Oryzias latipes: one gene and its partners. The protein of the gene in region 3 interacts with the protein of the main gene of each other region in a pairwise test. Links are inferred from orthologs where the notes say so. Each region holds a gene or a part of one and is shown on either strand. Other genes may lie near its edges.

What was found.
Region 1: the proteins of uncharacterized protein LOC101165509 (region 3) and pdcd10 interact in binary tests that used the Homo sapiens proteins (3 or more experiments, as listed by UniProt). The two-hybrid records come from large-scale screens. The link is inferred for Oryzias latipes from reciprocal best matches to the Homo sapiens genes PGCKA1 and PDCD10.
Region 2: the proteins of uncharacterized protein LOC101165509 (region 3) and eif3e interact in binary tests that used the Homo sapiens proteins (3 or more experiments, as listed by UniProt). The two-hybrid records come from large-scale screens. The link is inferred for Oryzias latipes from reciprocal best matches to the Homo sapiens genes PGCKA1 and EIF3E.

What each region holds. Positions count from the first base shown.
Region 1 is NC_019880.2:9,011,157-9,015,267, forward strand, and holds the start of pdcd10 (programmed cell death protein 10), read right to left. Parts: upstream 2,846-4,111; 5' UTR 2,716-2,845; exon of another isoform or gene 2,492-2,715; intron 938-2,491; 5' UTR 761-937; coding exon 671-760; intron 363-670; coding exon 309-362; intron 1-308. UniProt on the Homo sapiens protein: Promotes cell proliferation. Modulates apoptotic pathways. Increases mitogen-activated protein kinase activity and STK26 activity. Important for cell migration, and for normal structure and assembly of the Golgi complex.
Region 2 is NC_019874.2:3,407,199-3,410,852, forward strand, and holds part of eif3e (eukaryotic translation initiation factor 3 subunit E), read right to left. Parts: intron 3,379-3,654; coding exon 3,254-3,378; intron 1-3,253. UniProt on the Homo sapiens protein: Component of the eukaryotic translation initiation factor 3 (eIF-3) complex, which is required for several steps in the initiation of protein synthesis.
Region 3 is NC_019876.2:15,196,305-15,199,526, forward strand, and holds the end of uncharacterized protein LOC101165509, read right to left. Parts: intron 2,154-3,222; coding exon 1,439-2,153; 3' UTR 607-1,438; downstream 1-606. UniProt on the Homo sapiens protein: Acts as a tumor suppressor. Acts as a tumor suppressor for colorectal cancer cell proliferation by targeting KEAP1/USP17/ELK1/CDK6 axis.

The DNA of each region.
Region 1 (4,111 bases), on a different chromosome or scaffold from region 3:
TAAGAAGGTGAATGGAAAAATGACTTTGGTGAAAAATCTCAGCAAGTTCTTTTTTTTTAAAGCTAAATTCAACATGAAGGAAGTTAAACACAGAAAAGCTTTTTTCTTTTTTAAAGCAGAAGTCATTCATTTAATTTCCAGATGCCCTCCCCAACCATGAAGACGCATAACTCAACAATAGGATTTATTTTTTTAAATTACTGTACCCAATTGCTATGACACACATTCATACTCTTTGCAACATACATATGACAGGAGTGGGATCACATGATTTTACATTTCCTCTTGGTTGATTCACGAGGTCTCACCTTTATGAAAGCTGCCCTGAGCGTCTGAGCTGCTGATGGATTGATTCTCTCCAGCTAAAAAGAAGAAACAAAGAAAAAAAGTACAGGCCATTAAAAAACAAAACACACCAGGACAGAGAGCGGTGCTTAGCGTTAACAAAAACGTTCACAGAAAAGAGAAAAGATTAGAAACAATTTTTGAGAAGCATTTACTATTACAAAATTTTGAAAAAAGTTCAGAAATATCAATTCTTCTACTTTAGGTACTAAATTTGGATTTTATGATAAGAGAAACATCTGTCAACTTCAATTAAAACTCTATAAAAAATATGTATTTTTTGGACTAATGTTTTTTCATTTTTTAATTGTGATGGCAATGTTACCTCATTAAAAACTGGGAACATCACAGCATACAGCGTCATGGATACCATGGAGTTAGTCTCCGCTTCATTCTTCATCTCCTCCATTGTCATCCTCCAGGGAGGAGCAGCACTTGTTAAATTAGTGACAAAGAAAGTGCAGCTCTCGCACACTCACACATACACCCACTCACATACACACACAATCACTCACACACACAGACACACACACACACAGACACACATACACACACACAGGACAAGCCGCACAAGTTCCAGAATGCAAGTGACCTGCAAAGAAAATAAAACAACAATAGACGGTTATTGATGAAGGTTAGAAATTTGATTATCTTTATAAAAACCAGCTTTTGGTTTCCATTAACTTGATGGTGAATCATTGGTTTTACTTTTACAAAGATATTAGTCCTTGTTCAATTACATCGGTTCCAATTCCGCAAGAAAATAATTTCTAGATATGAGCCGAAATAATTTACAGAACTTGGTACCGAGAGGAAAAACAGAATATTGCTTAGCCTTGCTCCTAATTGGGGAAGTAGCTCTTCTATCTACAAGCTCCATTCATTCAAATATAAATTTCAAAACATTGTTGGCACATTGTGCAAAGGCGCAAATATTAGAGTAAAATCCATAAACAGATTTTTTTTTAATGGAAATAGACTGACATTCCAGCTACCATTAGAAAGAGCAGCTGGAATGGACAGCCTTAGGTTTCAGTCACACTTGACCTGTTCAAGTTAAAGAAAAAGAAATGATCCAAGTTAGTTTACAGCTTGTAAATGTTTCACTAATGCCATAACAGGGGTCTACCATAAAAGGAAAAGGAAAATAAAAAAATACCTGACTATATATTAGTCATAAAGCACAAAGGGGTAGGTACCAAGTGCCACTTCAGGGGGGGTACTTGGGGTTTTTAATAAAATAAGAAGCTAATTATAATTGTAAAAGTATAATGAAATCTAAATCCAATTTTATTATTGTTAAAGATATTTCAATTAAGATTTAAAATAATTCTCTATAATTCGTTCATAAATACAATTTTGTACCTACATTTATAGACTACTCTTATGAATTTACATTAAACCCCCAAAAAACAACAACATAGGGGCTTACCTAACCTAAAATGTTTTATGTTTTTTTTTTATCTGCAGAGATAAAACTCAAATTAAAGTTTTTCAAATAAATCTACAGTGCCACATAGTAGTTTGTTCTGTGATGATTAATAGCAGTTACTAAAAAGTAAAATCTGAAAAATAAAGAATCATACGCTAACCCGCCCACACAGAGGCTATGTTTTGACGCCAAAGGTAAGAGAACCTGTTGACTTTTTTAATTTGGTTAAGGGGAGTGGCACGCTTTAATAATGTTCCTTTTTTTTTAACAAAACCTCACTGTGAACTTAACTGAAAATCTAATTTAAATCTAATTACTTGACAAACAATATTATTATCGCTAAGTTTCTAAAACGCAACATACGTAAAGAAGTAACTAGTCACATTAGAAAAAAAAAAACTACTTCACAGACTAGGTAAGAATGACAAGTGTTCGTAGATGAAATATTACTGAAAACGGTGAGTGTAAATGCTTAAACAAAAGGAGACAAAGTTGGTCTAGTTTTTATTCGTATAATGGTGTCTGAAGCGCTGCTCGTCTCAGTTGGAAGCTAAACTGACCAGTTAACACTAGCTACCGAAATACAGATAGCCCTAGTAGGTGGTAGTGCTAACGAGCTATCAGAAAGGCTAAGTCGCTGACGTATCATAAAATTAAGAAATGTATTTTAAATAAAACGAAGTAATGTCAATGTTTAAAAAACAGCACTATTACCTGTTGGTGTTAAGTCACACATGTAAATCGATCTAATTTTAAAGACATTCACTTGAGGCCTATAAGCGATCGAATCGATATTAGCAAACTGCTAGCTTTGAATAGCGTAGCTAGCTCAAATAAATTGAAGCTTTAATCCCAAACGGCCCTAAACACTTACACAAACTGACTGCGCTGCGCAAATTATCCTATACTTGTAAAAAAAAAACGATATTTGGTTCTACCTTTGATCTGACTTCTTTAAACTGCTGGCTATTCCGTCGATTGCCTTTTAGCTCCTGTGTTTTCTTTACAACTTGAGGCGGAAGTTTCTTCGGACTGGCCCGAACGACATTTTCCGGACCATTGCTACGTAAACGCCCATTTATCCAATCAGAGAGCGGAAACCGAAACTGTGCAACATACGTCATTTAAATGCTCGCGTTTCAATCGTTGCAATCATTTTTCGAGTAAACAGTACTTTTATGGTTTCACATAATTAAATAATAAGCGAATATAAAATAACATCAATAATAAAATACTTTAAACAATAATTAAAAAAATTCATGATAATAACAATTACACACCAAAAAAAACAGGATGTATTTTATACCATGAACATAATTGGTAGTAACTCACAATAAAAGTATTTAATTACACAAACACTCAACTTTGTAAAATAACAGTTATGTAAAGTATTACCAATAAATATATTTTACATTTCACTCAGTGAATGTTTAGTAACTCTTGTATTACAACAGACTTGCCACCTCAGCAGTAGCCTATAGGTGTTGTAGGTCACTGTACGCTTTTTCACATTTTTGTCTCAAATTAAATTATGGAGACAAATTTCCTGTTAGGATAACTAGACCTAAAAAAATTATTTCCTTTTCATGTCAGGTCCATTTCACCCCTTAAATCCATATCTGCCTGACCTGTTGTTGTAAGTTAAGGGTGGTCATATTAACCTACTTCAAGTAGCATTTTATTTGTGGATATTAGTCTTTTAGAGGTACATAAGGCTTTTTTTTAGAGTAGTAATACTTTTCAAAAAAGTATAGACTAAAATGCCACTTTAAATTGTTATGGTTTGCTTGTGCAGGTACAAGCTTAAAGGTAATGCTTCAGGAGACATGTGAAGCAGTGCGATTTTGAGCCAGAATTCTTTTAATACAAGGCATTACTTCAGAAATGTGTTACGTTTTGGAAGTAACTTGCAAAAAACTGATTATAACCAAAGTAAAAGAAAAATTAAACATGTTTACTTAAAAAGGAGTAAAAAAAAACAAAACACTCCATTTCCACCACCCAAATGATGGTGTTAATTTTTTATATTATTTACAATTTCTCTATTTTTTATTAGGTTCAAGAAGTTGTCATCAAACTCTTTCAACCCTTTAACTATCCAACCAAGACAAAATCAAATTTTTAAAAAACTGTTTTTTTCTGCTGCTAATTACCTTGGGGGAGTAATTCACACAATGTTTTTTAATCTCAATTTTTCTAAATGTGCTCTACTGTTTGGTGGAGCAGGCAGTTGAGTGTGAACGCTGATCTGATTCTGCCCTCTGGAGGAAGAGCAGAAGAACAGTTTTATCACAAAAAGAAACACACTGGTAACCAACAGGAAACTTTCATCAA
Region 2 (3,654 bases), on a different chromosome or scaffold from region 3:
GCTGCGCAACTTTACGCTTCTTAAAGTCGCTTTTCACTCAGAAGAAGAGAGCAAGTATTTACGTGCTTGTCAGAATCATACAAAGAAAACATGAATATTTCAAGCATCAGTTGCTCCAGCTCCAGTTCCAGCGATGAAGAAATGATTGTTCTGTTGAATGATGAAAGACGTCGGAAAAGACGTCGATTTTGGGAACATCCCATAGTTACGAGAAGAGAAGAACATGGGGAGTTTTATCGACTGGTACAAGAGCTGAAAATGTATGAGCGTTTTCGGGGATTTTTAAAATGTCCGTCAGTGAGTTGCATCTTCGTCTTATTTCTTCGCGGCAGTGTTGACGGTACTTGGCGTGTATCTTCTTCGCCGTGACGTATGTGTGCTCAGCAAGACAGTTTTGTGTTTGAGCACCCCCAAGTTGTGTTTTACTGTAACTTCAGAAGCTCCAGACACGTGTGCAAAAGCGCCATTCTCATTGGTCGAATAGTCTTTGACGCGGCGGGTCAAACCAAAAAAACAAACCCGAGGCGTTTTTTTAAAAATGACGCTTTTACGCGTGGCGTTTTTCGCGTCGGTGTGCACACTCACATTGGTGCCCTTTGTTTAGTCACGAGGTGTTCAACGTCGGCGAATATCGCGCGCGAAATTCGGCCCGGTGTGTACGGGCCTTTACAGTGGGCTCTGCAGAAGTGATATAAAGAGCTTAGTTGACTTGTTAGCATGTTCTTTATGTGATGGGTATTTGAATAATTGTTCATATGTTGTGCCAAAATACTAGATTCCTCTTGTGTTTTATGAATCTAAATAAGCATCAATGTTTTACGGTAGTGAAGTGTGCATATATTCAGTCTATTCTTCTTGTCTATTCTGTTGATATGATTTGCCTTTCAAGATGAAATGTCTGTTCTTGGTCCCGTATTTTATACATTGCTCCCAAAAGTTTAACTTATACTCCAGTGCCACCGGTCTAGGATTTTTTCTTTTGTTATGAATATTTTGGTATCTGCGACTTAAACTCCAGAGCCAAAACTACAATACTATGGATCACCACAAGGAGTCTGGAGGAGAATAAAAAAACAAAAAAAAAAAAAAGGTCCGTTATTTCCGGACTATGGAGCGCACCTGATTATAAGCTGCAACCATAACATTTTTTAAAGGATGAAACATTTTGTACATACAAAAGCCGCACCTGTCTATAAGCCGCATGTGCCCACATTGAAACATGTGTTGTTGATTGAGGATGTGCTGAAATCTTGCGCTGCGTGTGTAAGAAAGAGGAGGGAGCGGTAAAAGCGGAGCGAGGGGAGAACTCGTGAAGCGCAAAAGGGAGGCTCCTTCCTCTTACACACAGCTCGCTGACACACATACTCATTCTACAACACCTATAGAATTAGTTCATTAGATAGCTAGTAGTTACTGTTATTTGTTAATAAAGAATACTGTGTTGTAATTATTACTCGTACCGGTATTCATTTGCGAAACGGCCGTTGGGGGATTTTGTGATGGGGGTAGGGCGCGGACCACAGCACTGCAGCTCCTGCTGCTTCATCACAGAGGTGTTCAAAAATCCCACACCGTCACAGCTCTATTCCAAACAGTGCATGTGACGCGGCAGCAATATGGTAGTAACAGCTCTAACAGGACTGGTTAAAAAAAGCATACCGGTAAAAGTCACTGAGAGCAGCAGCGCGTTTGTGCGTCTGTGCACTGAAACCATGGAAGTCTTCCTCCTCAGTGACGTATTGAAATAGCGTCAGATATTCTTTCGCTACACTCTCTCTCAGTCTCTCCTTCCTTGTAGTTGTCAGTGTCACTCTCATCCTGAGGTAAATTCTCTCCTGAGCTTGCGCTGTCCTCTCCGTCACGCAGCACACCGGCTTTTCCAAACCCGTACCTACGATGGTGGATTTTTTCACACTTCTTTTAACTTGAAAGCTGCGGCATATGCATTTCTTCTTGCATTTTCCATGATGAGGGTCTGTTTGTACTATTCATTCACAAAGCAGGAATTTACATTAAACTTGCGTCTTTCTCGACACATATAACGTATTCTCCCCGTCTCTCTCTTACCCTTTCTGCTCGAGCACCCCTAGTGGCGGTTAGAAAAAATGCATTAAAAAGAAAAAAATGCATAAATTAGCCGCATCATTGAATAAGCCGCAGGGTTGAAAGCGTGTGACCAAAGTAGCGGCTTATAATCTGGAAATTACGGTAACTTGGCAGTAACCTCTGGAGTTCATATTTGTATGACTGACACCTGTGCAAAGCTGCTTTAACCCAACTAACTAGTGCTGCAGCTCATGTAGAATGTGCATGCTGCAGAAACAAGCTGTGAAAGCCCATCTGCTGACTGCAGGGGTAAGAGAGGTCAAATGTGGAGCTGAAGGCCAGCCGCTGGTCACCAACTGCTGCCAAAGGAAGTGCTGGTCAACAGATAGGAAACCAAAGCCAAACCAAGCTCCAGTGGGGAAAACATGAGGTTTCTACACTGTGAAAATGCAAAGCACACAAAACTACCTCAGTTTGTCCAAACAGATGGCTGGGTGCACTTTTCATGAGTAATTATTGGGCTGGCCCCCTTAAATCATTCACAATAAAATGAAAAACCAAGTAAAATTCAGGCAACCAGACATTTGAGTGTGCTGTGTTGTGGTCGCCTGTCATACTGTCTGTGGAGGCCAATCATCTGTACAATTACACAAGCCTGCAATCAGAACTGGGAAGGGGGGTAAAGGGGGTGCAAAGGCATCAAATTGGGTGGTGTGCAAATTTTAACACAGTGTATAAAGTTTCCGATCTGCAATACACATGGCCTGCTTCTGGGCTTGGAGAGTAAACAGACCACACGAAAAACACACACTTCTGAAACCACTTGCAACATACCAGCAGGGTTCACAAGGAAGCCCACCACCCAAAAACTGTTGTTGAAGCACAAATGTTCATTTAAGTCAACTTCATGTCAAAGAAGCAGGAACCCTTTTTTTCCTGCAGCAGTATCTTTACTGCACCCGGGTAAATGAAAAAACTTGTCAGCAGACAGATTCCTCTGTGCTAGTGATGAAGAACAGCCAAAAAAACCTTCATATAATCTTATAAAAGTAGTATAGCGGTGCTACAACTCCAAGTATACTTGTAGCTATATTGATAAATAGTCTAAAGTTCTTAGAATTTAACAAAAAAGGTTCTTCTCTTTAACCTCTGAGCACTTTTTTGATCCTCTAGATAAAAAACACTACAAGAAGATAAAAGTACTTACTGGGGTTGATAGAGAAAGAGCTCGATGATGTTGTCTCTCCCTTTGGGGTGGTTGAAGAAGACGAAGAGAGACCAGTGAATGAGCCATGTCCTCTGCTGGAGAGACTGGAGAGGGGAGCTCACAGACTGTCGAGGACCACGCCAGACACCCAAACATGCAGGAGGAAACACGCACAATAAACAAGGGGGGGGGGGGGCAGTCAAAAACTCCTTAAACCTTGGACTTTTCACTGAAGTACAACAGGAAAAAAAATGTCTGCTTGTCCTCTAAAAGGCAATCAAATACCAGCAACACCTTCATGCTCGGGTTGGAGTTCTTAGGTAGTCAGATGAGTACATGTGGTGAGAAACAAAATGCCACAGCAAAGCTGTACTGCAAGTGAAATGTCAATATGGGAGTCT
Region 3 (3,222 bases):
ACTAAATCTGCACCAATCAGCTAGATGTGTTCTCTGGGAGAAGCTTCTACTTCAAGAACCTCTGCCCAGTATTACCATGTTACTATGCTGACTTAGCAGACTATGCTAACACACGCTGAGTCAGCAGTCCATGCTAACATGCTGACTCAGCAGTCCATGCTAGCTAACATTTGCTGACTCACCAGTCTATGCTTAAATGCTGACTCAGCAGTCTATGCTGGCTAGGCAATCTAGGCTAACACACGGCAATTCAGAAGTCTATGCTAACATATGCAAATTTAGGAGACTATTTAAGACAAGCCGACTTCATCTATGCCAACACAGTCTGACTGAACATTTTATGCTAACGCTCACTGTTTTAGTAGTCTATGCTAAGAAACACTGACTTTACTGCTTATGCTAACAAACTAATTCATAATAAAAAAAAACACAAAAAACAACAACACAAAAATGAAAGAATTCAAACATGTTTGACTTGTGTAATATGCTTCTGCCAGAGCTGAACATAAACCGGGGTTTACTTTTGATAAGCTAGCAAGTTAGCTCACTGCTAGCCGGCTCACTTCTCAAGACACTAGCATTTGAAAAACACAGCAAGAGAACAAATGATTGAACACAACTTTATTGCACTTGTATTAACGTTCTCAACACAAATACAACGAGCGGAAAAGATTTGGCGAGCAAACCCCCGGGAAAGGGCGCTGGCTCTGAAACTAAGGCTGAACTTCATTAATTTAACAGATCATTTATTTCACTCGTTCTCATAATTATTTGTTTCTGGCCTCAATTAGTTCATTACTAGGCACTGAACTAATGTCACTGACCGGACGGGAAACACAAGGCTTGACCTACAGGAGGAGAAATAAGATGAGAAACGAAGCTCTCCACACCATTTAGTGAGAGCTAACCTTTGTGAAGCTCTGGCGGTAAAAGGTCAGTTATGAAGGTCGCATATGAAAACCTAAACTAAAATCAATGTTGCAAAGAAACTACTAACAAAGCAGTTTTTTCCACAAAAATGTTTGTTGGCTGATTCTATTTAGCTTTATTTTAAAATCAGAAAGAAGGAAATGTTGAGAAGTGTCTCTTCGTCTTTCCTATCAATCGTCTGCACTTTTTAGGTAACATATCATCTGCAGGTCTTACCCCCAACCTTTTGAATAAACCCCTCTGTGGCGAGTGTGAGCACATTGGTGGTTTTCCGGACTGTGGAGTGTTAAGTACACAGTGTGAAACAGCCACAGGGGGTATTCAGTTCACACTGGTGTCTCCTCAGTCATTATTCAAGCCTTTGGAATTGAAGAGCCCTTCATAAGAAAGCAGACATGATGTTCCTTCACATTTATAAAAATAGTTCCAAAATAAATCTGTCTAAAAAGCATTTCTTCATATTCTCTGGTTTCCCTGAGTCTCTTTGAGTCTGGTTCTGGTTTTTCTGCTACTCAGAGTCCTCTCCAGCTGTGGCTGCTTCCAACGCAGCGAGGGCTTCTGCCACCATGGAGTCTGTGACGCTCTGCACCTCCTCCAGCTCGTCTTTGACCTCCTCCTCATCCTCGCTTTTCGTCACTGAAATCCCGCTCTCCTCGGTGGAAACGTCTGAAGTCTTTGGCGGAGTGAGGCCGTCTCGTGTGCCGGCTGAGGACAAACTGGTGGTGCTGGTGTGGATGTCCACGGACAAGACGCTCCCTTCGTCTCCTGTGTCGCCCGTGTACTCCGGAGTCCCCCCCACGCCCTCGTCTATCTCGTCGACCGAGGAGCTCCTGCCTCCCGTCTTCCCCGGCGGGCTAATGGAGGAGTCCCACCCATTCCTTTGCGTCTCGGTGCAGCACCTCTGCCGCTCATACTCCTGGATGCTGGGGTAAATTGGCACCTGGCTCGTCCCTCTGTCTTCCCATCGCACCTCGGGCTGAATGATGTACGGCCCCGCCTCCACAGGGGCAGCGCTCCCGGCGGCGTGCAGCCTGTGGTTGACTTGGTTGTTGTCAAACTCCAGTTTTAGCGTGCTGTCGTTGGATCTGCTGTAGCCCAGGTTGTGGAAGCCCTGCTTCTGCTTGTTGAGGCCCCCTGCTGTTTGGTGGTGGGACTGGTAGAGGGAGTTGCCTGATGAGTCGGCCTTCCGCTCCTCCACCGCCACAGAGGGGTCGTAGATGTAGCTGTAAGGGAGACAGGACGGTCAGTTATAGAGCTGCAACCAGAAACCTGTTCCAGTGTTTACATTCTTTCGACTACCGTAACCGTCTACACAATTAGCGTAGTTCCAGCAAATTCTGAAGCAGAGAAATGGGCCCTTGCACGATACGCTAAACTTTATGTTAGAAATGTGTTGCGAATTGGTGCAAAGACGATAAGAAAGGCCATTTCTCTTCACGTCAGAATCAGCCGATTAGCAGTGATTAGGTTATCAGTCGAAGAGTTAGGCTATGTTATTTAAATGTTATTCCAGTGTTAAAGGGGTTAGATAAAATAATTCAAAAGAAAACCAAATGCAGTGACCTTGAATAAACTTTGTTAAATAACTGAGATCAAACAAGTGCTAAAAAGAGGGAGGAGTCCTGGCTTTATCAGAGTCCTTCACTTTTCACTACTTGGTGTGCGGGTGTTCACCGTTTTGCAGGGGTGTCCGAATCTACAATTATAAAATCCAGAGCTCTGGAAATTTCTCAGAAGTCCCTGCTAAAGATTAGAATAGAAAAGGTAGAACTGGTGAATATAAACCATAATTAGGCCTGCTCAATAAATTGCAAATATATTGTTATCGCAGTATCCAGGTGTTCATAATACGCATATCGTAAAAGACGGCAAAAATTGCAATAAATGGTTACAGTAAATGTACTTAAACAATCTTATGGCAGCTTGAATTATTTAATTAATCAAATAAATCCCTTTATGCGTTTGACCAAGTTATGTCGACTCTTATTCAAATTAAACAGTTGCAGTGAAATGGAATTGATATTTTTGATATGTTTATGTATCGCAAGTTATATCATTATCGCAATATTGATCACTAATCTCGCAGATCGCAGGTTTTCCTCATATTGAGCAGCCCCGAACCACAATGCATTGTGTTAGAACAATCTATCATTTGAAAAAAATGTAGTGAGCATGGTGTCCGAATTGCGTTAAAATCCAGAGCAGTAGATAGTCCTGAACTACATAGTCCTTTGGGGGTTAGGTAGTAGTGAGTCATTTTTTGTGTGCTTCCAATTTCACTCACAGATAGAG